Linked DNA regions of Saccharomyces cerevisiae S288C. The gene in region 3 interacts genetically with the main gene of each other region. Each region holds a gene or a part of one and is shown on either strand. Other genes may lie near its edges.

Evidence for each region.
Region 1: mutations in ERD1 (region 3) and SHE10 together harm fitness more than expected from each alone (negative genetic interaction), as found in Saccharomyces cerevisiae (3 studies listed by BioGRID).
Region 2: mutations in ERD1 (region 3) and OPY2 together harm fitness more than expected from each alone (negative genetic interaction), as found in Saccharomyces cerevisiae (3 studies listed by BioGRID).
Region 4: mutations in ERD1 (region 3) and SLP1 together harm fitness more than expected from each alone (negative genetic interaction), as found in Saccharomyces cerevisiae (3 studies listed by BioGRID).

The regions. Positions count from the first base shown.
Region 1 is NC_001139.9:62,835-71,180, reverse strand, and holds SHE10 (She10p), read right to left. Parts: upstream 3,584-8,346; coding exon 1,850-3,583; downstream 1-1,849. Other genes in the region: glucose-induced degradation complex subunit VID30, read right to left, coding at 1-1,510; SAP4 (Sap4p), read left to right, coding at 4,222-6,678; YGL230C (uncharacterized protein), read left to right, coding at 6,966-7,409; chaperone EMC4, read left to right, coding at 7,561-8,133; TAN1 (putative tRNA acetyltransferase), read right to left, coding at 8,179-8,346.
Region 2 is NC_001148.4:693,502-700,878, forward strand, and holds OPY2 (Opy2p), read right to left. Parts: upstream 3,319-7,377; coding exon 2,236-3,318; downstream 1-2,235. Other genes in the region: transketolase TKL1, read right to left, coding at 1-1,337; YPR078C (uncharacterized protein), read right to left, coding at 3,646-4,764; MRL1 (Mrl1p), read left to right, coding at 5,368-6,513; TEF1 (translation elongation factor EF-1 alpha), read left to right, coding at 7,093-7,377.
Region 3 is NC_001136.10:1,292,690-1,300,427, forward strand, and holds ERD1 (Erd1p), read right to left. Parts: upstream 3,998-7,738; coding exon 2,909-3,997; downstream 1-2,908. Other genes in the region: STE14 (protein-S-isoprenylcysteine carboxyl O-methyltransferase), read right to left, coding at 1-402; DFM1 (Dfm1p), read right to left, coding at 680-1,705; rRNA-processing protein RRP17, read left to right, coding at 2,004-2,711; YDR415C (putative aminopeptidase), read right to left, coding at 4,348-5,472; mRNA splicing protein SYF1, read left to right, coding at 5,743-7,738. UniProt on the Saccharomyces cerevisiae protein: Required for the retention of luminal endoplasmic reticulum proteins, affects glycoprotein processing in the Golgi apparatus.
Region 4 is NC_001147.6:621,008-629,177, reverse strand, and holds SLP1 (Slp1p), read right to left. Parts: upstream 4,450-8,170; coding exon 2,686-4,449; downstream 1-2,685. Other genes in the region: SUMO ligase NFI1, read left to right, coding at 1-818; ISN1 (IMP 5'-nucleotidase), read left to right, coding at 1,198-2,550; ATP-binding cassette multidrug transporter PDR5, read right to left, coding at 4,803-8,170. UniProt on the Saccharomyces cerevisiae protein: May be involved in membrane protein folding. Required for localization of MPS3 to the nuclear envelope.

The DNA.
Region 1 (8,346 bases), on a different chromosome or scaffold from region 3:
CGTATTTCTGACACTTATTTATGGAACCATCCACGTTAAGAGACATGGCTGAAACGCCCCCTTCATAAATATAATCACGCCTTTGAGTACCTTCCATAGTGAAAGAAGTAGAAGGTACTCTATTGGAACTCATGTTATTACTACCACCTAAGCTACTACTAGAACCGGCCACGCTTGAACGAGAAACACTCTTTTTTGTAGTCGCTTCCATTAATTCATTCTCTACTAACTTGTATCCGATAACAATGTTACTATTTTCAGCACTCTCTGTACTCGTTACACTGAGAACTTTAATCTCGTAATAGAATATAGTTAACTTATTGTCTGGCAATGACTTATTTGCCCAAGTGACTGCAAAGTCCACTTTCCCAGAGTTCTCAAAAGAGGTTCTCAGTCTATTTCTGGTAGAGGCAGAAGAAGCGCTTGATCTTTCATAAGTCATGTATGAGTGATAATCAGGATTAGGTTGTAAATGAGTAATACCATCTTGAGATAGCTGCAAGCTGTTATTTGGTTGAGCTTGCCATCTAGAAGGTAAAAAGTACCCAAGTATTTTGTAAATATCAGGGATCATTGAGTTTTTCTTTTTGCTACCACTGTTGGACAAAACATTTGTTGCCTCATTGTCATTTTTGTCGTTACCAGACGATACTCTAGGAGAAGAAAAGGAAGAACTTGGAGACTGATCAGGGGGGTAGTATTGTAGACCACTGTTCTTGTCAGATGTATCCCACAAATTCCTTGATTCTGTTTCTATATTAATAGCTGATCTAGATCTTTGATATATCCATGGGTCCGCAACCCTTTCGGCACGCTGCTGTGCACTGGACACATCAGCATCAGCTCCTCTACTTCCTTCTTCTCCACCTTCCTCGTGATTGTCAGAGCCATCTCCTTCGTTGTTATCGTCCGTGTCAGTATCCACTTCCCCTTCTAAGCTTTCCAGATCGGATTCATCGTCGTCGTCGTCATCGTCATCGTCATCATCGTCATCATCATCATCGTCATCATCATCGTCATTTCTGTCATTTTCCAGGCTGGTATTAGAGTTAAGCGCCATTTCACGTTCGGATAAAACGGGTTCTAATAGTTCCTGAGCATTTTTCCTCATGTCTGAGGAAGCTTTCATAACTCGCACTGAATTTTTATTTGAATCTTTAACACCAAATCTCAAAGTAAAATCATTAACGTCTGGATAGAAATATTTATAGACTTGAATCAGGTAATCGTCGTTGACAGCTTCAAACGAAATTGTGCCTAGAACACCCAAATTCATCAATTTAGACCAGATTTCTTTCCTTGTTAAAGCAGTTAACTTTGTCCTGCCCATTCCAACGCCAGTGGGATTTTCATCAGCGTTGATTAAGTTAGTGTTCTTCAGTTTGTGAAAGAGTTTTCTATGTTGCAAATATAAAATCCATAAATCATAAGCCACAGGCTGTTGCAGCAAGTAGCTCGGGAACAAACAGTTAATGAATTCGCGGTCTACGTCATCCATATATTCAGACATTTCCTCTTAATTATGCTGAAATTCGACGCTTGGCTTTAACGTACTACTAATATTTCTGCTATAACAGTAACAGTTCTGGTCCAATCCTTTGGCTCTTTCTTTTGGTTGATCGATTCATCAGTTCCCTCCCCTGAAAGGCTCGCGCGTCCTGTAATCTAGCAAAAATAGGCAGGATACAAAATACAGTGGAGTGGTAATATTATATTCTTATATGGCTATATATGTTTATATATAAAGGTAAAGACAAACAATAAAGAACATACATATATATATAGATAGATATTGTGTGTGTGTGTGTGTGTGTGTGTGTGTGTGTGTATAGCAAGCGCATGAATTTCATCACAATGTCATGGTAATGGTTGTGGTGATGGTCGAAGTAGAGGTGTAGGATACGTCTTCTTCGTCTTCTTCTTCCTGTTGTCGTAATAGCTCCTGCTGCCTTTGGAACTCTTCTGCTGCAGCTTTTTCACGCTCTTTTCTTTCACGTTCCTTTCTTTCACGTTCCTGAAATTGCAGGTTGGCTTTCGATCTTAGAATATACAAAAACTCACCACTCTCTTGAGTGAACGATAATATCTTCTTTTGCACTTTTTGCCTAAACGCGTTAACACGGGATAAGTCAGCGGAATGGTGAGCCAGCTTGTCTCTAGATTCTATGATCTGTTTCTTGCCCTTCAAAAACTTCTTCCAGTTAACAGAAGACTTTGCTTTCTCTTCATCAAGCGTAGTGTCATCATCTGCACCCATGTGAGCGTTGATAACATCCACATAAGCCATTCTTTTGGACCATTCATTTACAATGATATCACCCCATTCTTCAAATACCTCGACGTTTTCCTCTCTAATTGCATTAACTTTTTTTTCAATTTCATCAGTGATTTCGCTCAAATCTTTCTCCATAGCATTTGTCAGTTCGTCTAACGTCGAGCGCGTCTCGTTGAAGTACTCACGAACTAACTCTCTCGTTATGTACTGAGAAATCTCAGTACTTCCAGATTTATCGAAGAAAATTTTCTTGCCAGTTTCACTATCAATGCCTTCCACACATTCAATATCGTTAATGGCTAGCGAAATCTTGGAGAAGAACTTCTTAGATTTATCATCTAAAGATTGAAACTTGGCTTTAAAATGGTTGGCCTCCTCAACCAATTTACCATTGATGTATTTGGAAACATCCTTTTCAAATAGCTGTATGACGTCTTGTGTTTTCTGCAATATAGTCTCACTCCACATGTCAAAATCCTCTTGCAACAGAGCCTGTTCATTGACATTGACGTCTGTGGAGCCTTCAACGTCTGTGGAAGCCTCATCGTCGTGCGCATGATTAGCAACAGCGCTAGCCTCTTCCTGGTCCAAAGTAATTGTTTCAACCACTGTTTGAGTACTTGTTGTAGTTAGCTCCTCTTCGTCAGACTCCATAGTACTTACGGTTAAAACCATGTCCTCCGAGGAAGGCTCACGTGTGACAGAACCATGAATGCCATGCGTGTCCTTATTCTTGAACTTTCCCATTAATTTTTCCTCTGTATTACCAACAATAAAGTCGTATTTGGATTTGATGCATCTTGAAGTGATAGTAAAGTAATAATGGCCTATATTTTTATACTTTAAAATTCTTTCCTTCAAATGAGAGCGAAACTCCGCAGTAAAGAATTTGTCTAAGTTAGGTTTCACAAAAGCATTGTATTTTGCGAAGAAAAATCGTCTAGTCTTGACCATTGGGGAGCGGACCAATTGGTAATACTTTCCACAGTTCCATTTCTTACATTGTGAATGGATGACCTTGAATGCAGGCTGTATAGCGACCTTGTTCACTTTTACTGTAGCGTCATCGATGACAGGTTTGACAGCCGTGTCATATTTACGCGCCACTATATCGAAACCGGGACTAACTTTATTTTTGTATAATTCACAATTTCTTGAAAAGTAGGTGTTCCAGACTCTTGGATTGGTATAATGGCAAAGCGTTTGCGTGCGTTCACACGATATGCTCCCACTATTGAATTCGCAACAGTACTGAAGCAACGATACCAACACCGTCAGAGTTGTGATTAACTTTATCAGCTTTCCCATTTCGTTACGCTGCGTTCTTGTTTAGATGTAACAGCTTTTGTGCATCCAAGATATAAAGTACTTCAGAAATGGTGGTTGAAACAGAATGCCCATTACGCTTACTTTAAGGCTGTTCTTCAAGTTGATCCTTTCTTTGATACATGATTATCATCATGTACGTAGAAATCCGCCTTATTTCCGAAACCTGACTATCTTAGGGTTATACATAGAAACGTATAGGACATTTCTTACTTTTGAAAATTGTTCCTTGGGCAGTTCAGGGTTTAGTTAGGGTATTGATGCCAGCCCTAAATCCCCTAAATAAGAACTCTCGAGGATAATAACAGACAATAAACCAAGAGTTCATCCACGTATGATGGCTGTTTTTTATTCTGTCGGTTTTTGGTTGCCGTAGTAAATATAATTTGGTAAGCGTGTTGTGCTGTGTTGTGTTGTGTTGTGTTGTGTTGTGTTCTACTAATTGGATTGTGCGAATAAGTGAAACGGTTGCTTCACCCAGCGGGAAAAGGACAACCTGGTATTTGGTGTGAGATAAAGTTATAGACAATCTGGTCTTTTGTTATTAAGTTCTCTTTTCTTCTATACCGTCCAGTTTACTGCTCTCTTGCTTTTCGATAAAGCTAAAATAAAATAAAAATATGTCACTATGGCCCTTTGGAGAGACGCTGAGTCATTCCGGAATTGATTCGATACTTGAAGAGTACTATCTAATTTTTCGTAGTTTGGAGGGAAATGAGACCTCTTCAACTGACGACAAGAAGAATGAGCCTTCTATGGAGTCAGAGTCCGAATTTGGTACCGAGTCTCGGGATAGGAGTGACCTTAACCAGTCATTTATTGATAGGATCTTGTTGGAAACAGCTTTGCTGGATGAACTGAATGGAGCAGCCAACGACAGACTCGTCGACTTCATTTGCTTGGGATATTTCTATGACGACCGTTCCCAGCAGGTCCGCCACATGGACTACCTAGTGGACATGTTGATGGCTTACCTGAAGGACATAGACCGCACTGGTTATAGAACCCCATTTCTTTTAGAGAATTCATTCCATCAAACAGGTGAATATGAAGATCAGGACGATGAAGACCCAATGCTGTATGTCAACATTATTTCCAGTATTTTTTGTTCGAAAAGTGCGCCCATAGTGGAGGCACTCGTGCAAAATACCCCATTTTTGTCCTCTCTGTTCGAGGTTTTCCAGTTTGAAAATATTGAGGCAGAAAATTGTCCTATCTTGGCTGTTTTCCTTAAGATTAACGAAACTCTTCTGTTTGAACAGACATCTAGCTATTTGGAATTTTTCAAATCGCAACCGAACATTGTGGACAAGTTCTTATATCATATTGAAGTCTCACCCTTGGTTGAATTTCTCATTAAAATCATGCTGACTGATCAAGTTGAATCACCTACGAACATTATTGACTTCTTGTATCACCAGGATCTGATACCTAAGTGTTTGAATCTCTTGGAAAATAGCAAATACTCACCTGGTATTCAAAACAGTAGCGGAGAGCTTCTAAAAGCACTGATCAGCATTTCCACCAATTTTAAACTGGATACTTTGTGGATCGGACCTAACCGATTGACAAGACAGCTTGCCTCTCCGCAATATGTCGACCAACTTATTAATATAATCTTATTTCAAAGAGGCCATGCAATGGGAGTTGCCGTATCTATTATAATTGAGTTGATCAGGAAGAATAATTCCGACTATGACGAAGTAGATTTGTTAAGTACCACCATAGTAGACAATCCGCCTTCTCAAAGAGATCCAGTCTATTTGGGCCATTTGTTATATGAGCTCACTATGCATATGGAAGATTTTTATGCATTACTAATTAAACTTGAAAATGATGATGACGATGATCATGACACTGCTTCAAAAGCTCTTCCATCTGTTAAGCATCACCTACTAGAAAACCAATTGCATGAATCATTCAGGCCTTTGGGCTTTGAAAGAGTCAAGATTACAGAATTGATATCGGAAATGTTACACTGTTCAAATATGGGATTGATGAATTCAAAAAGAGGCGAAAAAATAGCACGTACCAGAGATAAATGCAGGGACACTCTTGATCAAAACTCACTAGAGAAAGCCATGAAAAATTTAAATATAAATGATAATACTATTACTTCCAATACATTAGAAGATAAATGTAATAATAATGATAGTAATGACAGTAATGACAACCAAAAACAAAAAAAAAATATTAAAAAAAAGTTTCATGATAATGAATTGTATTCTACTTTTGATACATCTGATGACAATATTGATGATGATGATGATATGAGTTTTGAAATTCCTTACGTCAGTGAAACGCAAAATTTGAAAATACGTAAAAACCCTACCATTGGAGATTTATTCAAAATTAAACTTCATGACCTTGGGTTTTTTCCAAAGTTTCTACAATTATTCTTAAGATATCCTTGGAATAACTTTTGGCACAACATTGTATTTGATATTATTCAGCAGATATTCAATGGTCGAATGGATTTTTCTTATAACTCATTTTTGGTCTATTCTTTGTTTGATTTCAAAAAGTCTACAAGATTTATCCCAAAACCTTTGTACGGCAGCAACCAAAAGTTACCTGTTAAAGACTTCCATATTATCTCTGATTTCATTTTACAAGGCCACAAGGATTCGTTTGAATTTTACGAAAAAGAGAAAACAAATTTAGGTTATATGGGTCAATTAGTATTAATTGCCGAAGAAATTGCGAAGTATTCCAAAATTTATAAGACCGATCTAATTGCTCCAGATATATATGCCTTCTTACAAGATGAAGTTTGGATGTCATATTCTAGTGACATCTTGAACGAAACAAGGACAATGTGTTCAATAATTCTTGGTGGAGGCCAGTTCTGTGCCGAAAGCGATGAAAATACTAACCAGGACTTTTTGGAAAAAGCTGATATGAGTAAACCAGCTCATCCATCCACAATGGATGAGAATGAAATTGTTCACGAGGAGGATGTTAAGTTGCATGATAAAGTTGCCGAGCTCATAGATGAATTGGGTCAATTAACCGAATTAGATATTCATGATAAAATTAAAGATGTTATTGTTGATCATCATTCCGACTTAAATTGATTAGGTTAAGTCGTCAAACCAATTTTGACTTTTTTTTTCCTACATTTTTAATATTTTGTTTCTCGTTTTGCCTTATTTAATTTTGTGACATGTAAAAATTACGAAGCCTATTGGGGGCCAATTGAAGTAAACTAAATATAACAATAGTCCTTTGTAGTTCAGGAATGTTCACCAACTATTCACCAAAAATTATTGTCTAGCTTACTTTCAATAACTTATAGCTATCTATACAAAAATAATCATATAACTAAAGTCAGGCCCAAACCAGGCAAAACAAAACCATAATAATGGGAATTATTACACTATCCGGCAATGTTCTACATTTATTGAAAGCCTACCCAAAAAAGGGCCTTGAAGAGGTTTCTCAACCAGAGCCTAATACAGCAAATGATTCCTCGACTGAATATAAAGGAAAAAGCAAGGATGATTTTCAAATGGTCGAAAAATCCAATACAGATGAGAGATACAATTTTACAAGAACGAAAAAATGGTTTTTATTGATGACCTCAGAATATTACAAACTAATGGAAAACAGACTTTTAATGTTTTGCATTATCGCTTGCTCTTTTATTTGTGCTATCCAATTTCTTTTCTTTATAATTTATTGGACCAACATTGTTCCACGGAAGACGCAAAGGGCAATAACTAACCTAAATTACGATTATTTAACAGCCCATCTAAAAGAGCAATGCGTTCCATATGCGAAAATTCTTGACCAATGTATTCTCTAGCAATCTCTGCTTTTGTACATTCGTAGTTTTTTCATGTTCCTTTCATAAATAATAAAAAAAGCGTATTCTTTTCTATATAAATAGAATGAAAAAAAGTTGAACATAATATCAGTTAAGGTTAAAATAAAGCCAAACGATATAAGCAACAGAAATGAGTGAACAGGAGCCTTACGAATGGGCTAAACACCTATTGGACACCAAGTATATCGAAAAATACAACATTCAGAACTCAAACACATTACCTTCACCACCAGGATTTGAAGGTAATTCCTCTAAAGGAAATGTTACAAGAAAACAACAAGATGCTACATCTCAAACTACTTCTTTGGCACAAAAAAACCAAATAACAGTATTACAAGTACAGAAGGCATGGCAAATTGCGTTACAACCAGCCAAATCTATTCCGATGAATATTTTTATGTCGTATATGTCCGGTACATCCTTACAAATCATTCCTATAATGACTGCCCTCATGCTACTCTCTGGACCCATTAAAGCAATATTTTCAACAAGGAGTGCATTCAAACCAGTGTTGGGTAATAAAGCAACACAAAGTCAAGTGCAAACTGCTATGTTCATGTATATCGTATTCCAAGGCGTCTTAATGTACATTGGATACAGGAAACTAAATTCAATGGGTCTCATTCCTAACGCTAAGGGTGATTGGCTACCCTGGGAACGAATTGCTCATTATAATAATGGATTACAATGGTTTTCCGATTGAGAGCGTATATACTTATATAAAATATCTATTCTGTTTCATATATGATTATTGTTTTACACTCTTATCTTCATCCTTTCGGAATTTCGATTCATAAAGCTGTTGAACGTTGTATTTACGATATTTGGTTTTATAATCCCCATCGACTACACACATTCCGATATTGCTCTTAAAACATTCCACTAGAATCAATTTATCATAGTTCTTCAAGTCCAC
Region 2 (7,377 bases), on a different chromosome or scaffold from region 3:
ACGAAGTTCAAGAAAGTACCACCGTATGGTTTGTAGTTGGCACCGAAAGCTGAAATACCGTTCATTATGGCACCCATAGCGTGTTCTCTAATACCGTACCTAATGTATCTACCAGAGTAGTTACCTGAACCGGAAGAAGGAGGTTGGAAGTCAAGGGCTTCCTTCCATCTGGTCAAGTTAGAAGGTGTTAAATCGGCAGAACCACCAATCAACTCTGGCAATTGATTGTAAACATCCTCAAGAACAGTTTCTGATAATTTTCTAGTGGCCACGGCAGAGTCCTTGGCGGTGTAAGTTGGCAACTTAGATTCCCAATTTGCGGGTAGTTGGCCGCTCAATCTTCTAGCCAATTCAGCACCTAATTCTGGGAATTTCTTTTGGTATTCGCTGAACAACTTGTTCCACTTGTTGTTGGCTTCGACACCTGGCTTTAAAATTGTCTTTTGGTAGTGGTCGTAAACTTCTTGTGGAACAACAAAGGACTTGTCTGGGTTGAAACCGAATTTGCTCTTTAGTTGTTTAACATCATCTGCTTTCAATGGGGCACCGTGCACAGAGTGAGAGCCGGCATGCAAGGAACCGTAACCAATGGTTGTGGTCATTTTGATCAAAGTTGGTTTGTCCTTGGATAACTTAGCTTGAGCAATAGCCTTGGCAATACCGGCTAGATCTTCGTTACCATTTTCTACGTACAAAACTTCCCAACCGTAGGCTTCGTATCTCTTAGCAACATCTTCATCGAATGAGATACTGGTAGCACCATCGATAGTGATCTTGTTGTCATCGTAGATGGCAATCAAGTTACCCAATTTCAAATGACCAGCCAAGGAGGAAGCTTCTGAAGAAATACCTTCTTGCAAACAACCGTCACCCAAGAAAACATAGGTGTAGTTGTCAGACAAGGTAAAGCCCGGCTTGTTGTAAGTGGCAGCCAGGTTAGCTTGAGCCATGGCCATACCAACAGCGTTGGAGATACCTTGACCTAATGGACCGGTAGTAACTTCAACACCTGGCAACTCAAATTCAGGATGACCTGGTGTTCTGGAACCCAACTGTCTGAACTGTTTCAAGTCTTCAATAGACAGATCGTAACCAGTCAAATGTAGCATAGAATACAACAAAGCGACCGCGTGACCGTTAGACAAGACAAATCTATCTCTGTTGATCCAGTCTGGGTTGGTTGGGTTCATGCGCATTTGACTCCATAGAACGTGTGCAGCTGGTGCCATACCCAATGGAGCACCTGGGTGACCTGAGTTGGCCTTGGATACGGTGTCCACAGCCAAAATTCTTATGGTGGAGACGGCTAGCTTATCAATGTCAGTGAATTGAGTCATTTTGTTTGCTAAAGAGGTAACTATGTAGAGTTGCTTGGGATGAGCTTCCTTCTCTGTTGTACTTCAGTTTGATCTGAAACTTAAAAAACGAAATTTAAAAGGAAGACAACGGTGAGAACAAGAAATGAATGAATCAAGAAGTCACGATCAAGTATGTAGGTAAAAGATCAGGGGGGAGTATGTACGTAACCAAAAAGATTGGGAAAGAGTTTATATATGAATCATGCCTACGATCGTACCTTCTTGGCTTTCCCAAGAAAATTTTTCATCTCTCGAACTTCTCGAGAGATTGCGAACGGAACGGCAAACGCCGCCGGCATTTCTCGGAAAGAAGACTAGAAAATAAATGACGGTGGGAAAAAAAGCAAGAAGCTACGGTTACCCGCAGCGGCACTATAGTAGATGGGCTTTTAAGCCCGTTTTCAGGGTCAGGTAATATGTAATGTAGTAGCACTTAAACTTGCTAACCATAAATGACCAAAATGCAAGTTTGCTGTATTTTAGTCCCGTTGGCGTTTTCGGATGCTTCATTCCCCAGAGAAGTGATGTGTATGCGAAAAATGTCTCAATGCAGCTTTGGCTGCTGCGGAACTTATCCGCTTTGTAAGCACATCTTGTTTTAATGTGTATGAATTTTTATATTTGGTTCGAAAATTATGACATTCGGCCAAGAAACTTTCAGAGGAGCTGTGTATTAGCAGATGGTAAGCGCACGTTGAAAATGCTGAATATTATTAATTTAGACATACCTTGATGGCTGAACAGTAGTCAGAAAATTAAAAAAAAAAAAAAAGCGCTTATTACGGCGTATACACGTAACTATATAGACGTAGATCATTGAATATTGATATGATATAATATTTTCCCCGGGATTGCAGAATACTGACACGCCTTTTATTTATCGTTCATCGTGTATTTCGAACTTGTCCTCAAACGGGCTCTCAGTGCGACTGCCCTGGGTGCTCTCGCGTATCGATTCTGGAATTTCCAAGTCCAGTATAAAACTTCCTTCTTCATCGTCATCTTCGTCGTTATTACCATGGCTTGCCTCGCTTTTTGCCATGTGTGAAAGATCATCCGCCTCTGTCTGTTCTTCAATGACATCCAAGTCCTGAATCTCCTTATCACTCTCTTCCTCTGCGATTTGAACCAGTTTAGGTTTAGCACGAATAGCAGTTATGAGGTTATCGTCTGCGTCCTTATTGAGTACCTGGTTATGCTCGTCATCTTCGTCATCCAGACCATCCAAGATGGAAGAACCTAAGGTTATATGTGACCTGATATCACCAGCTGCATTTTGTCTCTTAGAGCTCGAGCGTAGTTTTGATTGCAGTTTGTCGGTACTCAAACCGCTTGTCACACCAGGAATGTAGGCAATAGGCAAAATATTAGAAGCCCTTGTACGAGTGGTAGATGCTGAACTTCTGTTTCCCGGCACGTTGAGAGTTGGAGGTACCAGTGACGTATTGAACAGGGTGTGACTTTCATCTTTTCTCATACCGCCATCATCCTCATCGTCTTCATCATCATCGTCTTCATCGTCGAAGTATTCCTCTTCATTCCCGTAACTTTGCGATGCCTCTTCCAATTTCAAAGCTTTATTTTTTTGCCTTTTGGGCTTCCAATATCTCTTGTTGATGAAATACAACGCCACCAAGGCAATAAGCATCGCACCACCTACAATACCCACGGTGAACCCCACAATCAACGAGGTTTTCTCATTTGAATTACTGGAACTAGAACTAGAGGAGGAGGAAGATAAACTACTCAGTTGTGAATCGGACTGTTTCGCACAGTATGTGGATGGGCACTTGTCACATGTTAATGAAGTCATAACACAATATTCTCCTGAAGCGCAAACAGGGCATGATGCAGTTGAATCGCAAACAACACATCCGTCGCTGCCTCTAGTTGCAGAAGTTGAAGAGGTGGCTGTGCTTGACAAGGATGAACTTGCAGAAGCCTTGGAGGAGCTCGACATTTTTTGTTTGATTTTCAGAAAACGAACGTAACCAGTTTGATAAATGTGGTGCCTCTCTTATTCGGCCTGGGAAGCAGTGCAACAATAGCGCACATTATAATCATTTGATTTTAAATTCACCCCAGGACAATGGGGCATTATTTTCTGTTGAGAGGGTAACGCGTTGTTTATTGAGAACTTAACGCGTTTCGATTTCAAGAATGCACTATAGTGCGGAAATGTAAACAGAATTTATTGATACTTGGCATTATTTGAATTTTATTTATATCTTGCCCGAACATGTCTTGACACAAGCAAGGAACGTTTGCTCATTAACCTTTTACACGGTTATGCTTGTACCAAAGGCTGATCACCTGGTTCGGGCACAAAACAGAGTTTAGTTTCCAACTGTGTTTCCTTTCCCGGATCAGATGATGGTAAGGGAACGGTAACGGCGTCTTCATCTTTACAAGGTTGGCCCTTCTTAAGATTTTGATGCTTTGTAGTCCATTTTTTGAATCTTCCTTGCAAAAGATAAATTTCCCTTCCCAAATTATTTCTAAGTGTGTCCCACACTCGTGGCACGTTTTCTTGATTTTTGTCGCCAAAATTAGCACTCTTATGGAAAATACGGAACATACCACCGCTGTTATTTTTAGAACTACTCTTTTCAGAGCCGAGCATATCAAGAGAAGTCCTGACATATCGGTATTTCAAAAGAGTCTTTTTATTCTCTTGCAAAGGAGGCCCGCTAATAATGCTTTCCGTATCATCAGTTACTAGCTCCTTTTTGATATTTTTCCCAAATGTGGGACTTATGGAGGTCTTCTCAGGTTCAGAAGCGGAGTGAATTTGGCAGGTTTCATCAATTTTAACTAATGTATCGTCATTTTCAAAATCGTCAGGTGTTAAGGGTGATATAATATTCAATCCATTCATAAAATCATCAATATCACTAAAATATGGTGTCTTGCCCCGTTCCATCAAGTCCTCTCCATATCCATATACTTTATCATCGTTTACCTCTTCCAGATTATTATCAGATGGTAGGGCTAATTTACTCTTATTTTTTCTAAACCACTTATTCAACCTCTGTCTCCAATCACGATCATAGCGGCCATGCAATTGAGAAAGACTCTTCAGCTGCGTATTTGAACTGCTTTCACTGTCAGAAAAATTCTTATTGGTTTTAAACCAGCCAGAACAAGATCGGAAAAAAGTATCACTTTCAGTAACTTCTTTAATCACTTTTTCCAGCCTGGCAATTTCTTGGTCAGTTTTATCGTGAATATGATCAACTCTGACACCTAATTGTGCAGTCTCATTGATTAACCTTCGTAAATCTTCGCTTTCAGTCAAATGCGTTGTTATTTCAGCTTCTTCGTCAAACTGGAAGGTTCGTTCATCATCAGACCTAAGCTCTGAGGGGCTTAATACTGTTGGTAAGACTCCAGAAATCGTTTGCATGATTGATATTTTATCTTTTTATATGATTTTGTTTTTTAGTTATACTTACGCTTGCTACCCTTACTTATGAAGTCAGTCTCTTTTGTTAGCTTTTATTACAACACTTATGAGAAATTTATAAAAAAATCCCAGGAATGCTTTCACAAATTATCCATTCTACATAAAATCTTTTTTTATAGTATTACTTTTTTGTGACATCAAAATGAAGCACTAAATAATTATAGAAAATATTCAGCAAAAAAAAAGAAAAACCTTCTTCTGAAAAAAAAAAAAAAAAATTCAAAAAAAGACACCTTTCTACCTTGGCAGTAAATTTCAAATTAATTATTTACCAAACTGTAGTTCCCGCTCACTAATCCTTTCTTATACTTATTCACATTACTGTCACTTTGCGGCTGTATTTGGCCGCGTTTCCCTTTCGGGTGCAGGTACAAGAGGTATCCGAAACAAGAAGGGTTAAGTTTTGAAGAAAATGCCAAGTATTTCAATTTCAATAATAAGAACGCAAAACTACAGGAGACTCTTACTAAGCATACTACTTCTCAAAAAAGGGCTTTATTTTATAGAACATAAAACATACTGTAGGATCGCACACTGGAAAATATGTTGAAACGATCATCTCTAATATATCTATCATGTGTCCTAATCATTACCATACCAATACTTTTGCATGTATACAATGGTCCAGGACTGTCCCATGAAGCCAATGAACATAGGGCTTCTCACAAGCAAAAAAGAACGTTAGCAAATCCGGATAAACCCAAAAGCGAAAACGATGAAGATCTATTTTGTGCGGTAACCAACCCAGTCACCGGATCATACATAGATCTATCACAGCTATCTTCAACTCCCAACAAATTAAGGGAGGGCCAAAAACAGATTTCTGGCAATAACAAGCATGAATCCTCCAAGACGAAGTGGTCAGTGAGAGGTTGGGGCTACGATACAAACTTCACGTTAGGCATCTGCTCTAGTCCTGTCGGAGAAGCTGAGTCGCAACAACTGTCCAATCTAACGGGCGCTTTTTACGTAGACCAGTTGAACGAAAATAATTTAGTATCGATTGGAGACTTCAGTACAAGGCCTGCGTTAGTCGGCGGCTCTACTGCCAAGAAATTAACTCTCAAATACGAAAACGGCTCTATGTGCCCGAACGGGAAGGACAAGAAGGCAACTTTATTGAATTTTGTCTGCGATAAAGAAATTCAATCAAAGGCCCAGATATCATACATTGGAAACCTACACAATTGCTCGTATTTCTTCGAAGTCCGCAGCATTCATGCGTGCCCCACCTCAAACAAAAAGAATGAAGTTAACGTTTTGGGTATCTTCATCGGTATCTTCGCTATATTCTTTTTAGTCGAATTTGCGGGGAGAAGATGGATCTATGCTAAACTAAATAGGCATTTGAAAAACGACGACGAGTTACACGACATATCGCCATCTTTAAATGAGCAACCACACTGGGACCTCATAGAGGACGGGTCTCGCTGGAGTAAATTTTTCAACGGGATAATTAAGACGACAAGAAGGTTCACGAAATCTTTAATGAGGTCTTTAGTCAGAGGCAGGAACAGCCGTCAAGGGGGCATAAGACTACGGTCATCCCCATCTGCCTCTTCGTCCAGCCTTGCCAACAGGGAGTTCTTCAGAGACATGGAGGCTCAAAACGAAATTATTGACAGCCTAGACATCAATAGTCATACAACAGAAAGCGACCACCCAACTTTGGCTGATAATAGCGTATAAACAATGCATACTTTGTACGTTCAAAATACAATGCAGTAGATATATTTATGCATATTACATATAATACATATCACATAGGAAGCAACAGGCGCGTTGGACTTTTAATTTTCGAGGACCGCGAATCCTTACATCACACCCAATCCCCCACAAGTGATCCCCCACACACCATAGCTTCAAAATGTTTCTACTCCTTTTTTACTCTTCCAGATTTTCTCGGACTCCGCGCATCGCCGTACCACTTCAAAACACCCAAGCACAGCATACTAAATTTCCCCTCTTTCTTCCTCTAGGGTGTCGTTAATTACCCGTACTAAAGGTTTGGAAAAGAAAAAAGAGACCGCCTCGTTTCTTTTTCTTCGTCGAAAAAGGCAATAAAAATTTTTATCACGTTTCTTTTTCTTGAAAATTTTTTTTTTTGATTTTTTTCTCTTTCGATGACCTCCCATTGATATTTAAGTTAATAAACGGTCTTCAATTTCTCAAGTTTCAGTTTCATTTTTCTTGTTCTATTACAACTTTTTTTACTTCTTGCTCATTAGAAAGAAAGCATAGCAATCTAATCTAAGTTTTAATTACAAAATGGGTAAAGAGAAGTCTCACATTAACGTTGTCGTTATCGGTCATGTCGATTCTGGTAAGTCTACCACTACCGGTCATTTGATTTACAAGTGTGGTGGTATTGACAAGAGAACCATCGAAAAGTTCGAAAAGGAAGCCGCTGAATTAGGTAAGGGTTCTTTCAAGTACGCTTGGGTTTTGGACAAGTTAAAGGCTGAAAGAGAAAGAGGTATCACTATCGATATTGCTTTGTGGAAGTTCGAAACTCCAAAGTACCAAGTTACCGTTATTGATGCTCCAGGTCAC
Region 3 (7,738 bases):
ATATTGTCCCAGAATAACTAGAAGACATCCAAGTACTGTACAAAGCTTGGTAGCTAGAGAGTAGCTAAAAATTTTCAGATCAGGAAAAAGAAAGCTTTCTACGAGGCATTCCAGAATAGCAAAGGAATGTGCCGCCATGTAACTTTTGCCGTTGTTCAGAAGAAAGGACTCTGAATGTACCTTAAGAGGATTGTATTTAGCTGTAATATAATACTCCAAAAAATGGAATAAGGACAGGGCAATAATAAAGAGGTTAAAATTCTTGAATCTAATTTGTGGAAAAAGACCAACAAATATACCTAAAAGAATCCCCAGTATGTAGGAAGTCATGGTCACCTCATGCAGCGGATTGCGTCTGATGTCTGGATACTCATGCTCGTCTTCTTGAAAATCTTGGTGCATGTTGTGTTCAAAAACGGTGACCACAATGAAAGAGGAGGTAAAAAGAGTAATTATCTTGAAATCGATTTTCACTTTCTTATATAATTCATCAACACGAGAACCTTTCTATATACTGGTGGTATCATGTAAAGAATTGTTTTACCATAGTGGCCCATTTGTCAATTCGTCTTGAGTGATGTTTCATTATCAATCGGTTGCTATGCCAACGAAAATACTATGTCAGACTCTCTTGATGTATATAATGAATGGCAAAGTACATAGAAATAGATAAAAGTTGTTATTGTGAGTCGGAGGGGCTGTTTGTTTGTCCTACTCGTTGGCCGCGGCCTTGAAATTGGTTCAAATTCGATGGGCCACTTCTTAATTGACTTCCAGAAGCTCTGCCTGAATCTGTGCCACTGGTTTGAGACAATGTTGCAGGGGCCGTACCCAATCGTTGACCTCTTCCACTAAAAGTTCTCGTTTCTCTTTGCGAAGATGGCACATTGGCAAAGTTGTTGTTGAATGTTGCAGTTTCATTGTGGGCACCCGTTATGCGAGCATATAGACTAGTAAACCACCATGGCGTTGAGAATTTCCCATTGGGCGAGATTCCGTAGGTTGGATCAGCTTTTCTGGATATCATCCCCCATATTGGCCCCAGTGTATGGGTATCTAAGCATGTATAAAGGTACCCTGTAGTAAAACCGATCAATGAGATTACGAAATCACCCTCATTAAAAACGAAAGAGATAAACAATTGAATTAAGGGGAAGTACTTCCCCCAAACAGGAATCAAACCATAAAACATGATCTGCACGTTGGCATTGTCGATCGACCAAGTATATGTAATGCATGATATGAACCCAGAGGTGAGCACAACAGGGTAGTAGGACCCATAAATGATTGTAGTGGCCGTAGTGATGGCTAGTATACAAAAGCACAGGTAGTAGGCATAGTCTACTGTTACCATCGGTCCTCGTCTATTGGACAAACCGGGACCAAAATGCCCTCGCTCCAACTGTGAGGACCTGTCATAAATACTATATAGTTCCATTAGCGCAGGCATGGCACGAGACGAAAGCATTACACAAGAAGTAAGAAGTCTCCATATCTGAACCTTCTTGAACGTCAAATTCCAAACATAAATAAAGTACCACGGATTGATTAGATTCAACCGGCCGACGATCGTCATAACGATCGCTAGAGTAAATAAAGTTCTTGTTATTGGGGGGATATTTAACCAGAATTCTTTTGGGCCCATCACATCATTATTACGGCCTCCATTTCCATGTAATGTACGCACATTCCTTGGGCCTGCCATTATTTCCTCGAAAATAGTTTTTGATTTGACTTGGAAATGCGGAATTCACTGGTAATTTGTTGTATTTTGCCTTATATCCTTTGTTTGATACTCTTGTCTTATATTGAAGAGGACACGATTTCATGAGCCGCGAACGGGTAAGTAGGGACTTTTCACATTTGAAATTTTTCAAATGTGATGAGGATCGATTCTGCAAAGCAGCAGATAATAGCAGATAAAAAATAGAGAGTTGCAATATTCAAGTTCCTGGTAGCTGCTCGAATCAAGAGGGGTGAATTAAAGGTTTTCGATTTTTGCTATGGCTGTTCACACCAATAGGCAAATCCTTACAAGAGGCAAAAACTATGCTACAAAGCAATCAAAGAAATTCGGTACCGATGAGGTGACGTTCGACAAGGATTCTCGTTTGGATTATCTGACTGGCTTTCACAAGAGAAAGCTTCAAAGACAAAAGAAAGCACAAGAGTTTATTAAGGAGCAGGAAAGGCTTAGAAAAATTGAAGAAAGACAGAAGATTCGGCAGGAACGTAAGGAGGTGATGGAAGAACAGTTAAAGACGTTTAAAGAGAGTTTAAACTTGGAAGCTGAGATAGAGGATGCGAAAAATGATAAGACGGAGGATTTGCAGGTAGAATCTGATGAATCCTGGCACGGGTTTGATTCTGATAAAGATGACGGCGATAACGACAATAATGAAAGTAGCGTAAAGCCTATTTTGAAGAAAGGAGCAATCACGGAAATATACGATGACTCAACTACTGTTGAATTGGAGACATTGGAACCCAATGATAACTTTGAATATTTAGCCCAGCTAAATAATGTCAAATTAGAAAAGGCAGAAAAAGTACTCAAACAAAGCATAAATAGAGCCACCAAATACGCGAAGTTTCTGGGCGTGGATGAGAAACAAAAGAAGAAGCCAAGAGTAAAAAAGTTCAGATATTTGACCAAAAATGAACGAAGAATAAACCAAAGAAAGGCAAACGACAACAAGCGTAGGAGATAATGCAGTCGCATTATCGTCGGGCACCGCCTGGGGTTTCTTGACGCTCAAACAGTGTTTGATTTTTTTTTGGAAAAGTATATACTGTGCATATGTATTTTTCGTTTATTATATGTAATATATCGAATAAACCATTCTACGGGGAAAATAGAACAAATATTTACAGCATTTGCATGATTTTATATGGCTTGCCCAACAAATTATTTGCTTGCAAACTTAATATAATACTCTGCGTCCAATTTGAAAACGACCCATATGCCTCTTCTAATTACTTCGAAATACTGCATTTCGCCTTGGAAAAAAATGTAGTCGCTATCTGCGGCAACTAATTTCAGATTCTGCGATAAATATACCCATAGCCACCAGAACCTCAGCAAAAAGTCAACGAGAATCGCCGAATGATACATTTTTTTCTTTAATGTGACGGCACTTTTGGATCTGGATCTTAAAGAGGTTAACGAGTCCAATGACCAATCCATCCTTACATCCCAAAATAACGTATAGGAAGAATTAATTAGCATAAACCATCTTTGAACGTGGTGTAGTCTTTCTTCGTTGATGGATCCCTCATACACTCTTGATCTCCAGGTGCAAAAAAGAATGGGAAGATTACAACTGTATTTCAATGCATTGAATAGTAAAGTTGCTTCGTGCAGTAAACGGTATTCTCTCAAACACTGCAGTAGTCTTACCAGTACAGGAAGAAGGGCTACGGATAGATCAAAATGTGTGAAGGGTTCTCTAAAAATTAGAGAGGTAAACAATGTGAAGTCTATCAATGGTTTTGCAAACGATGTCAACGTGTCAGAGATTAAAATGTAGGTATTCCTTAAGGAACGGGGGGAGGATTCTATCAACAAACATCTCCTAGTACAATATTTTATTATCTGGCACTCTTTCAACAGAAACCAAAATATAGTGACACATTGGATCAATGGTAGAAAATATACGATGAGAATGATATTTTTGAGTGGACCTTCTATAATATTCATGAACTCAAAAAGGAACACAGTGGCAAAGTGGAACGGTATAATAATCCTTGTTATCTTCAAAGCAAAATTTCTAGCTGTTCTATGCAATTGCTGTAGAGTATAACCTGGACGTATATCGTGCGGTACTCTCGTGAGTATGACTTGGGATACGTCTAAATTACTATGCAAGAAGAATTTTAATATCCATGTCCAGATCCAAAGGGCAAGTATTATGAGCACAATAAATCGCTGCGGAGGGGGAACATTTAATATATTTTGGAGATAAAGTCCTTCAGAATTACTTTCGCTTTTCTCCATATTTTGCGGCCCAACTTGTTGCAGAATTGAAAACTTTGTATAATACTAATAATAATTTATAATAATAACAATAATAATTTATAACAATAATAACAATGCCAAACAATTTATATGGGTAACCAGTTTTTGGTACTGTTTGCCATCAATATTGCGACTAAATCGGGAGCGGTTAGCGCTGGCTTGCACTTTTTGCAACTGACTCTATTTCTTTCATTGATTATGTTATTTTCAGATGACGAAATACGCCAAAAAAATTCGGGAAATAAATACTAGCGTGATATCGGTTTAGGTATATTACAAAAGAACACCAAGGTAAGGCATCATTAGTTATGTATGCATATTACTGACTTTTACCAAGCGGACCATGACCCGAGTTCAATGATTACCCCTAATACAATTTTTGTGTGTTCCGCCATATGAGCGAGACTTAATCTGTCCAAAGTATCCATGGTGCTGTGAATATACTTGTTAGTCTTTTTGAACTCACTTTCAATCACGAAGGAGCCTGGAAATCCGTTTCTGGTGGCACTCCCATGATCGCTACAAGCATAGCCACATTGTGTATCCCTGTAAGGAATGGATAGATAAGAGTTGATAATTAGTTTTATAAAATCAGTTAATGCGGGAGTAGTGTAGTCGGTGACAATCCCCACATGTTCATCTTCTGGATCAGAAACATATCCCGTCATGTCTTGCTGAAGCATCGCTCTCACATGCTTTTTCTGTTTGGCATAAGCTGTAAAAACATCAAGAGAACCCAACAATCCCCCCTCTTCGGCGGAATAAAAGTGAAATTCCACAGTGTTGTTAGGTCTAAATCCTCTCTTCAAAAAATTTTCCGTATATAATCTGAGAGCCTCCATATTAGTCACCGTGCCTGACCCATTGTCGTCCGCACCTGGAGCTGCCATTATGGATGGCAGTAGCAGATTGATAGAATCTTGATGAGAACCAATTATTATAATATCTTCTGGCGTAGTAGATCCCGTGACACGGACTATAATTGAATATTGCTTCCATTCTTTGTGATCAAAATGTTCAATAGTCAACGTATCTTGCGGAATATCTTTTGTAATATTAGCGATAGTTGCAGCTAACCACTCGGCAGATTCAAAGCCGTGATCGGACTTGTAGTAACGGGTGTAAAAACTTGTAAACTTTGCCAAGTTCTTGTGCATAGAGCCCTTGTCTATATTCTTAATCGAATCATCCACTACTTCTTTGTTCGATATCTCAGGAGGATAGTTATACGTTGGTACTGTTGGCTCTTCCTCCTTGTTAAAGAAAGGTAAGAAAGAAGTGTGTTTGGTCACATCAAAGAATTTGACACCTCTTCTTCGTAAGTTTAGCTTTTCTGATTCGGGAACCTCCATTACCTCATTCTCTCCTACTTGTAAAACCCTTAAAGGCTCATATGGATATGACCATGCGATGATGGCAACATTAAATAAAACAAAAAGCGACTGTATCCTCATATTGTGCTAATCAGCGGTTGATTATGTTACTTACTTTTTCGAATAAAGATTTTGTATTTCTTTAGCTTCGAAGATTGATAATTATTGAATATCAAGTTTCAGTTTACTATAGCGGTCCGAACATATGAAAGATTTTAGTAAAGACGCTGGCAAGCTTTTCAGTCAAAATAATACAAAAGGAAATAGATAGAAAAAAAGGAAATAATCAGGCCTCCATATTGGACTCAACTATCCTTCAGTACCGCAAAACTTATTGTGTCCATATATCCTATGTCAGCATACATCGCAATGAAAGGAGTAATAACAAACGTCGATGAGAACATAAGAAATGATGAAGATGTGGCTTTTGAGTACGAAATACAAAAGACACCGCAGAACATACTTACATGGAAAAGATATATCGAGTATTGGAAAGAGGAGGGAAGAACTGACAAACAGATTAGGTGGCTATATGAAAGATTTTGTTCACAATTTGTAACAGATACAAGTATATGGGAAGATTATATACGCTGGGAATCAACAAAGGAAGTAGTCGAAACTTCACGTATTTTCTGGCTTTTTCAAAGGTGCCTGAAAAGCTGTGTACGAGATTGTGACAGGATATGTTTGTCTTATTTAGAATTGGCAATTGAACAATATGACTTGGCAATGATAAGGCATGCCTTAGCTTCATCTTTAATGAAAATGGAGAGAGAAATGCATCGGAAAGTTTGGGATCCTGTCATAAAATTTGTGGAAGAAAAAGTTTTACCATTAACGCAACTGGATTCAACTCAAGAAGATGAAGAAGAAAGTACTGATGAAGCTGAATTGATAAATGTACTTTTAGTGAAGGGTTTCACGAAGGGAGGTTTTATTAGCGAGGAAATTAGTGAAAACGGAAGTAGAGGTGATATTTGGTCGTCACATATTTTAGAAAGATACTTAAAAGTGGCTCCTCAGCAAAAACGAAATGAATCGCTGGCAACTCTTGCATTAACTAGAGACAATATTACCATCAAATCAGTATATGAAAAGTATTTGCCACAAGATGAAAATAGTGGGAAGTATCTACCTAGTTCAGAACTGCCTTTTGAATTAAATTTCAATTATTTGGCCAGCCTAGAAAAACTAGGTTTAGATAATCAATATGAGGAGTTCATGAGGCAAATGAATGGCATATATCCCGACAAATGGCTTTTTTTGATCCTATCACTTGCCAAATATTATATCTCTCGCGGGAGGCTTGACAGTTGTGGTGATTTATTGAAGAAAAGTTTACAGCAAACACTTAGGTACAGTGATTTTGATCGCATCTATAATTTCTATTTGCTATTTGAGCAAGAGTGCTCCCAATTTATTCTGGGAAAGCTAAAGGAAAATGACAGCAAATTCTTTAATCAAAAAGATTGGACTGAAAAGTTACAAGCTCATATGGCGACATTTGAATCTTTAATCAACTTATATGATATCTATTTGAACGATGTCGCACTAAGGCAAGATTCCAACTTGGTGGAAACGTGGATGAAAAGAGTGTCCTTGCAGAAGTCAGCAGCGGAAAAGTGTAATGTGTATTCAGAAGCTATACTGAAAATTGATCCCCGAAAAGTTGGTACGCCTGGCTCTTTCGGTAGGCTTTGGTGTTCGTATGGGGATTTGTATTGGAGATCAAACGCAATTAGTACAGCTAGAGAATTGTGGACACAATCTCTGAAGGTACCGTATCCTTATATAGAAGATCTGGAAGAAATTTACCTAAACTGGGCTGATAGAGAATTAGATAAAGAAGGGGTGGAAAGAGCTTTTTCTATCCTTGAAGATGCATTACATGTGCCAACAAATCCAGAAATTCTCCTCGAAAAATATAAGAATGGACACAGAAAAATACCTGCTCAAACTGTTCTATTCAACTCATTACGTATTTGGTCCAAATACATTGATTATCTAGAGGCTTACTGCCCAAAGGATGCAAATTCCTCCGATAAAATATTCAATAAGACAAAAATGGCATACAATACTGTTATTGATTTGAGATTGATCACTCCAGCAATGGCAGAAAATTTTGCATTGTTCTTACAAAATCATTACGAAGTCATGGAAAGTTTTCAGGTGTATGAGAAAACAATCCCTCTGTTTCCCCCCGAAATCCAATACGAATTATGGATTGAGTATCTAGAAGTAGCGACATCACATCAATTGTCATCACTGAGTCCTGAACATATTAGATTTTTGTTTGAGAAAGCACTTAAGAATCTATGTTCAAATGGTATAGACTGTAAAACAATTT
Region 4 (8,170 bases), on a different chromosome or scaffold from region 3:
ATGCCTTCGATACTAATTTGCGTAATGGTTCAAACCACAACGAACCCGAAATAATATCTCTGGATAGCTCAGATGATGAAGCCTTTATTCCGGCTAGTAAAAGCTTCCCAACGCACGTGAACCCCCGTAATGACCAATTAAGAGCAGATATATTTCCCTCAGAATCGGAAGGATCCAGTGACTACAACCCCAATCATACATCAACGCCGAAAGGTTCTCCAACTATGGACCAAGATAATTATCAAGATGCTTTTCAAATGAGGTCATTTTTGAACCAAGGCGCTACTACAAATATAAATGACACACCGACGAACAATAGCAGTATTAATTCTTTCGTTACGGCGACGAATGGTGACAGCAGAATATTCTACAATAGAGGGCCATCAACGCCACTATTACCGGCTGTTCTACAAAATTTGACTAATCAAACGGAAGCGCAGAGAAACCCCTACGGACCTAATTACAATACCACAGCTCAAGATCGTAATCTTTTGGGAATCGAAGGTGATTTGCCTCCAATCCCCCCTGTGGACCCAAATTCAGAAGCAGAAACTGAACTACCAACAAGGACCACATCGGCGGCACATCTCCCTCCATATATACACGTGAGCACCAGCGGCCATGGGGATGATGGAAAAATTAGGAAGAGAAGGCATTCTAATGTTTCTATCTACATTCCGAAGAATCCATACGCCACCCTTATGAAACGGAGACCACAGGCAAATCACGCCATAATGAATAAAACTCTGGCCCAAACTAATGACTTTAACACATCGGCTCAAGATAACTCGGAAGTGGTCGATTTAACATCAGATTGATTAACCGTCTTTTGATTTCTTTCCTTTCCGATTGTATTCTATTTTTATTTCTATTGTTTCATTTCGCTCTTAATATTGACTTCCACTTTTGGGCGTAAATGATGTTTTTGTTTTGATAAATATTACGACTTTTGTTATGTTTTTTTACTACTGTGGTTACTTCATGGGTGTAGTGTGCGAATCTGCAGTGATAGGTTTCTATAGATTTCTCTGTATACTTCCTGTATTACACTATAATATTTCATGTCCTTTCACTTCCCACGTTTAGCGGGACAGGCCGCCCTTAAATTAACAAAATTTAAAAGGTAAAGGAATGTACTAAGAAAAGAAAACTATTCAAAGAAAGTAACAAAAGATCGTGAGTTAACTTATAATAGCAATGTCCTCAAGATATAGAGTGGAATATCATTTGAAGAGCCACCGCAAGGATGAGTTTATAGATTGGGTAAAGGGGCTACTGGCCTCACCTTTTGTTCTACATGCCGTCTCTCATGAAGGTGACTACAATGACGACTTAGCAACAACTCAACGTGTAAGGTCGCAGTATGCTGATATCTTTAAAGACATTGAAGGGCTGATTAAAGATAAAATAGAATTTGACTCAAGAAACATGAGCCAAGACGAAATTGAAGATGGCGCCTCTTCTCAATCTCTGAATATATTAGGACAATCGCGTTTAAATCTTTTGGTTCCATCAATTGGAACATTCTTTACGGAACTTCCATTGGAACAAGCTTTTCTATGGGAAGACTCACAACGGGCCATTTCGGCGCGTAGAATGGTAGCACCCAGTTTTAATGATATCAGGCATATCCTGAATACTGCACAGATATTTCACTTTAAGAAACAGGAGAACTTACATAATGGTAAGGTTTTGAGATTAGTGACTTTTGATGGAGATGTGACGCTGTATGAAGATGGTGGCTCCCTGGTTTACACTAATCCTGTAATTCCTTATATTCTCAAGCTGTTGCGGTGCGGTATCAATGTGGGAATAGTCACTGCGGCCGGATATGATGAAGCTGGAACCTATGAGAACAGATTGAAAGGATTAATTGTTGCATTACATGATTCAACTGATATACCAGTTTCTCAAAAGCAGAATTTAACAATAATGGGTGGTGAGTCGAGTTACCTTTTCCGTTACTATGAAGACCCGGAGGAAGATAACTTTGGCTTTAGACAAATTGACAAAGAGGAATGGCTATTGCCTAGAATGAAGGCTTGGTCCCTCGAGGACGTGGAAAAGACTTTGGACTTTGCCGAGAGAACTCTTAACAGGTTAAGAAAAAGACTAAACCTACCTTCAGAGATTTCTATTATCCGTAAAGTCAGGGCAGTGGGTATCGTCCCAGGCGAACGGTACGATGAAGCTTCTAAAAGACAAGTTCCTGTTAAGCTTGATAGGGAACAACTGGAGGAAATAGTTTTAACCCTTCAAAACACTTTAGAGTCTTTTGCCCCATCTAGAAGAATTCAATTTAGTTGTTTTGATGGTGGTAGTGATGTCTGGTGTGATATTGGGGGGAAAGATCTTGGTGTTCGTTCATTGCAACAATTTTATAACCCTGAATCTCCTATCCAACCCTCTGAAACCTTACACGTAGGCGATCAGTTTGCACCGGTGGGATCAGCAAATGATTTTAAGGCAAGGCTAGCTGGATGTACCCTCTGGATAGCATCCCCTCAAGAAACAGTGAATTATCTTCATAGATTATTAGAAACTGATTAAAACAGTTTATGTAAAATGAAATTAGGACTATAAAAGTATATAGATATTTCCTATAGAAACACCTCATATATGGCGGTGGATTTTTTCATCTTGAATGAATTATGCTTAGAATTATGATTATGGGCCCTCTAGGATTCATCTGATTGCTTGTTGAACAATGTCTGCCTTTTCAATAGCGCCATTTTTGCTCTCTTCGAAATCTTCAAAGTAAAGCTCTCTCGTTATTAATAGATAGGATATCAACCCTACGAAGGCGAAAAATGACGCATAAACAATTCTTCTTTGAAAACTGACTTCTTTTTCCAATCTTTCCAAATGCAATAAATGACGGTTAGTAAATTTGTCATTCTCCAGTTTCTGTTCTTCTAATATACGTAAAGATTGATCTTTCAATTGATTGGCAAAGTTATTCAGCAGATCTAGATTACTCATCATTGTTTCGTTGAATATCGTGACAAGATGACTGAACTTTGCTTCGTGCGCCATTTCAAGTTGTTCAAACGATTTAGATAGCAGTTTGCTCTGTTCCTCAATGTAAGAAACTGTCAAACTAGAATTTGTCTCCAGTTGTGACAGCCTTTTCATGATGTTCTTAAAAATGGATTCTTCTGGAATTACAGGAACAGCCGAAGAAGAAGAAGAAGATATCATTTGCTTGGAAGGACAAAAGGATGCATTAAGCACCTTGAAAAATTCATCGAACTTCAAAGGGATGAGCTTTGAAGTACATGATAATGCACCAGCTAAGTCTGAGAGATTGCTTGTGTTTGGAGTCTCTAAACGCGTTTCTATATTGTTACATCTGTCTTGGATATTTTGTTCATTCAAATTGTTTATATTGTTAGTTCCTATGGATTGTTCTTTATCCTCTTGAGCCTTTAGTTGATCGATCTTAAACTCATCCATCATTGATTTACCATATACTTTGATTAAGGATATGGGACAATAAAATTCGTCCTCATAATGGGATAGAATTTCGATTTTCAAATAACTTGCCCAGATTTGGGGATTATGTATTTGAAACTTTTGTAGTTCTCTTGAATTTCTTGCCTCGAATTCTCCTAATATTGTCCATTCATTTTTAACCATCGGTATTCTATCAGAAACTGACACCCTAAATCTCTTGAAGGTCGAGGAAAAGAATTCGTAATTAGCAATTTCAATTTCCTCCACCAGGATATCTTCACAAAGCTCTATAACAATGAATTGCTGCGGAGCTGAACAGGGATTCAGTAAATACTTGTCTTTGCTCTCAATTAACGTAGAAGTCGCTCCAATCGCTTCTGGATTGCTTTTGACAATTGTTGCAGCGCAATCCAAGGATGCATAGTTGAATTTTTTTTTGTAAACTTTCTCTATGTCCTTTTCCTCATTGAATCCTTTTTGATTTTCTTCTCTTTCACTCCACTCGTTTTTGTTTGTCAAAAACCCCAAATCGATTTCCAACTCTTCTCCTATGCATTCTTTCTCTTTATAGCAAGAGGGATCGACTGGCTCCCTCACTCGACTAAGATGACGTTCAGGGCCTGATGAGTGCTCCTTCGACTTGACCTTCTTCCATTCGTCGAACGATAAAAATGAATTACTCGAATCGCCCGGATTCCTTGGTGTTGCAGGCTGTGTTAGTGCATCTTGCTCTTTCCTCTCACCGTTTTCCCGTATGTCAGCCTGCCGTATGTCAACTTTAGAGGCCTGTCTAAAATCATGGGTTCTTAAAGAACCGGTGGATAGTGGTGAGGAATGTTCTTTCTGCACGTTCGTTGTACTTCCAGTCGTGATCACAGTGGTATCATGTAGACCAATCTTCGCATTTTGAGCAGTTTTGTTCCTATCTAATGCAAAAGATCCGATTATACTTACCCACAAAATAAGGCCGTATATGAGAAGACGGTTCGCCATTCGGACAGATAATGATATAATATATCTTATATTTTAACTATATCCATTGCGTCCTTTCTTTTTAACCGTAAGGCACAGTTAAGAAATAATGTTTTCACACTAAATGCTGATGCCTATAAAAAAAAAGTACCGATGAGATAACCTAGGAATAAAATTCTCGGAATTCTTTCGGACATTGAACTTTGATTTATCAGAGCTGGTAAATTCAAGAAAATTGAAATGTAGAAAGCTCGCTGAATTAAGAAAAAAAAAATAAAAACTTATTATTACGCACCTATATGTAGTGATTATGTATGTTTATTAAAAAAGTCCATCTTGGTAAGTTTCTTTTCTTAACCAAATTCAAAATTCTATTATTTCTTGGAGAGTTTACCGTTCTTTTTAGGCACTCTTGCTAACCAGTAGAAAAAGACACCAGCGATATAATTGAATGCAATATAACAGATGAAGATACCATAATTTCTCCATCTCTCACTGTAGAAAGAATTGACATTAGCTAAGTAATCATTGGTTGTAGATATTTGACAGAAACTACAGGTGTCAGTGGCATTTTCATCAGTTAAGTAACCAGTCTTTGCTAGTTGTAAATATGGTTCCATGTACTGCCCACATGTCATACCGGATGGTGGTGTGAATTCTAGCAATTCGTAATCAGCGCATTTGACGTCTACGTTAGCAACACCAACAGCCAACAGAGCCTGAATGAAATAAGTCAAAGGTGAAACCCTGTACATGAATATCCAAAATCTAGGCATGGCACTTGGGGTAGTCATAACACCACAAAAAGACAAAGACATTGTAAACAACAAAGAGGCTAAGTTAGCTGCACTTTCTGCAACTTGGTTGAATGAAATGACAAGCAGACCCATAGAACCAACATAAACGTAGAAAGCACAAGAGAACAACCAAAATAAAGCACCCCTTTCATGCAACTGGCCAGCTGCAGACGCGTTGGAGTAAAATCCAATTGGATAATAGTAGATAAAATAAGCAATAGTACCTGCCAATATATTCCATGGAACTTCCACGAATATTTGAGCGAAGATAAATGAAATCCAAGAAAAAGTCCTTGAGGGGCGTTCCCTGGCCTCATACAAATCTCTTTGCTGGACAAAAGATGGTAGGTATTGTTGTAGAATAGGATTGAAAATAACCGTAAACATGAACACAGCCAACATTTGATTTTGTAAACCCTGTAGCGAGGTTCCTGCTTTGAAGAAAGTGAAACCGATGAACAATTGATTGAAAATAGTTAAAATAAACTTCGACCATAAATAATCTGGAGATCTCCAATATTGCTGGAATAGACGAATACTGACCAATTTTGTTTGATAAATAATTGATTGTGAAAATTCGTGTTTGTCCTCAGCTGCAGTTATCGAACCTTTCTTTGGTAATTCTCTTTCCATCCAATCTAATTCAGATTGAACGGCCCTGTACTCTTCAGAATTCCTCCAAACTTCGTAATAATCTTGATTTGCATGAGAGCCTGGAGCTGCACCAACAACTTCTAGCATCCATTCAGCTGGGTTGGCGTCAGCAGGGCATTTATGAGCACCATGGCTTTCAAAATAATCGATCATAGTTTTACAACCTTCGCCCAAGTCGCCAAAGTAGACAGTCTTACCACCACGTTGCATAAATAGTAAACGATCGAATTCTTGCATCAAAATAGCAGAGGGTTGGTGAATAGTACATAGAATTGCTTGACCATGATTTGCCAACTTTTTCATTAGCTGACAAATAGACCAAGCAGTTTGAGAATCCAAACCAGAAGTAGGTTCATCTAAAAAGACCAACAGTTTTGGTTTGGCAGTTAATTCAACACCAATGGTTAATCTTTTTCTTTGTTCAACGTTTAAACCTTCACCAGCAACACCAACAACAGCATCAGCATATTTTTCCATTTCAAGAATTTTAATAACTTCTTCAACATATCTGTTCTTTTCTTCAATGGAAACTTCAGCTGGTTGACGTAGGTAAGCAGAAAATCTCAATGACTCCCTCACAGTGGCAGTTTTCAAATGCAAATCTTGTTGCTGACAATAACCAATGGATCTTGGGAAAGATTTATCACGGGGAATACCATTGACCAAGATATCACCAGTTATAACACCCATGGTAACCCTTTCGGCCAAACAATCCAGAAGTGTGGTTTTACCAGCACCTGAAGCACCCATTAAAGCTGTTAAAGTACCTGGTTTAACCCAACCATCAACATTGTTCAAAATACGTCTTGTTTCGGCCTTAATCTGAACTTCGTAACAAAGGTTTCTCCAGTGAAATATAGCCTCTGACTTGGATAAACCAATTTCTCCGTAAGTATCGGATTCCTCTTCAGAGCTTTCTTGTAGCATTTTCCTATCGCTGGATAAGTCACTACGTTCCCCAACGTTTTCGGGGTCATTTGCATTCTTTTCAGTTAGTACACCTCTTTTCTTCATTCTTTTAACTATACTGCGTGGGAAAACTAATATTTCACCTTTTTGTTTAGCACCCTCGTTGTATTCACATAAGAATAGATAGACAAAGAAAAAGAAGACGACATAAGCCATACCAATACCGAAACCACGCCATTTGTCTTTGTGGTAGTATTGATAAGTTCCTCTAATGAAATCATCACCCAGAACATAGTCTTGGCCTGGAACAGCTCCAACCACGGTACAAACAGATTCTGTACTAGAAATGTTTGCATACGCAGGACCACGAGGAACATATTCAGCGCAGGGGAATTTTATACCATGAAACTCGTTAATTAACAAAGATTCGAATAAGTAAGCCAACGGATTGATATACCAAATCCATTTAGACCAACGTAGGATCTTCTTCTTAGGAATAGCAAAACCGGTATACATGGATAGAGCCAACAATAACATAGAAGCGGGAACCATAGCTTCTGACAATGTCTTTGTTAAGGAACCAACACATCTAAACAAGTGAGACATGGAGAAAACCGCGACAATGTTTATTAATAAGTAGAAAAAGAATACACCACCATTTCTTCTAAAGTCTACTAAGAAATAGAAGATTATATTGAAGCAAACAGCGATGATTAACTTTGAGGGTATTTCTGATAGAACTGATGCAAAAGCGTCAGCACTTGGATGGTATAACGAATATGTTCTATGTTTTTCAGTGATTGGTCTGGCCTCATATAACGAAAAGATTTCTAACAGAGAAGAAAATGCATTGAATAGAATTGCAAAAAACATAGCAGAACCACGGAAATAGAATGTAGAAGTATCACCCTTTTTCATGATCTTGAAAAACATTGAACCCAAGATTAAAGCCATACTACAGTTACCCAAAATCATAAATAATGTAAACCCGATATTATTTCGCAGTCTCCACATATTTCTGATTAATAGGTATTTAACTTGCATCATGTAGCTGACAGTATAAGGAGAGGAAGGTCTTGCTCTCTTGGACTGCTTAGCAATGTGGGCTTCCTTAATAGCTTCACGGCTTGCTTCATCGTCATTCAATAATCGTTGGTCGACTTCTTTCATTAGCTCTTTGTAATTTGGAGATTTTACCCAGTAATCGTTCATTTCCTTCGGGGTCTGTGGTATATGAATACCTTTTTTTAGCATATCTTTGTTCAGGGTTCTCTCAGAGGGACTTGTAACTGAGGTCAAAAAATCTGCGGTGGTTTGTCTGCTTGGACAAACATACCCCATATCTTCAAAGTACTTCTTGGCCTTATCGGCGGGGCCATAGT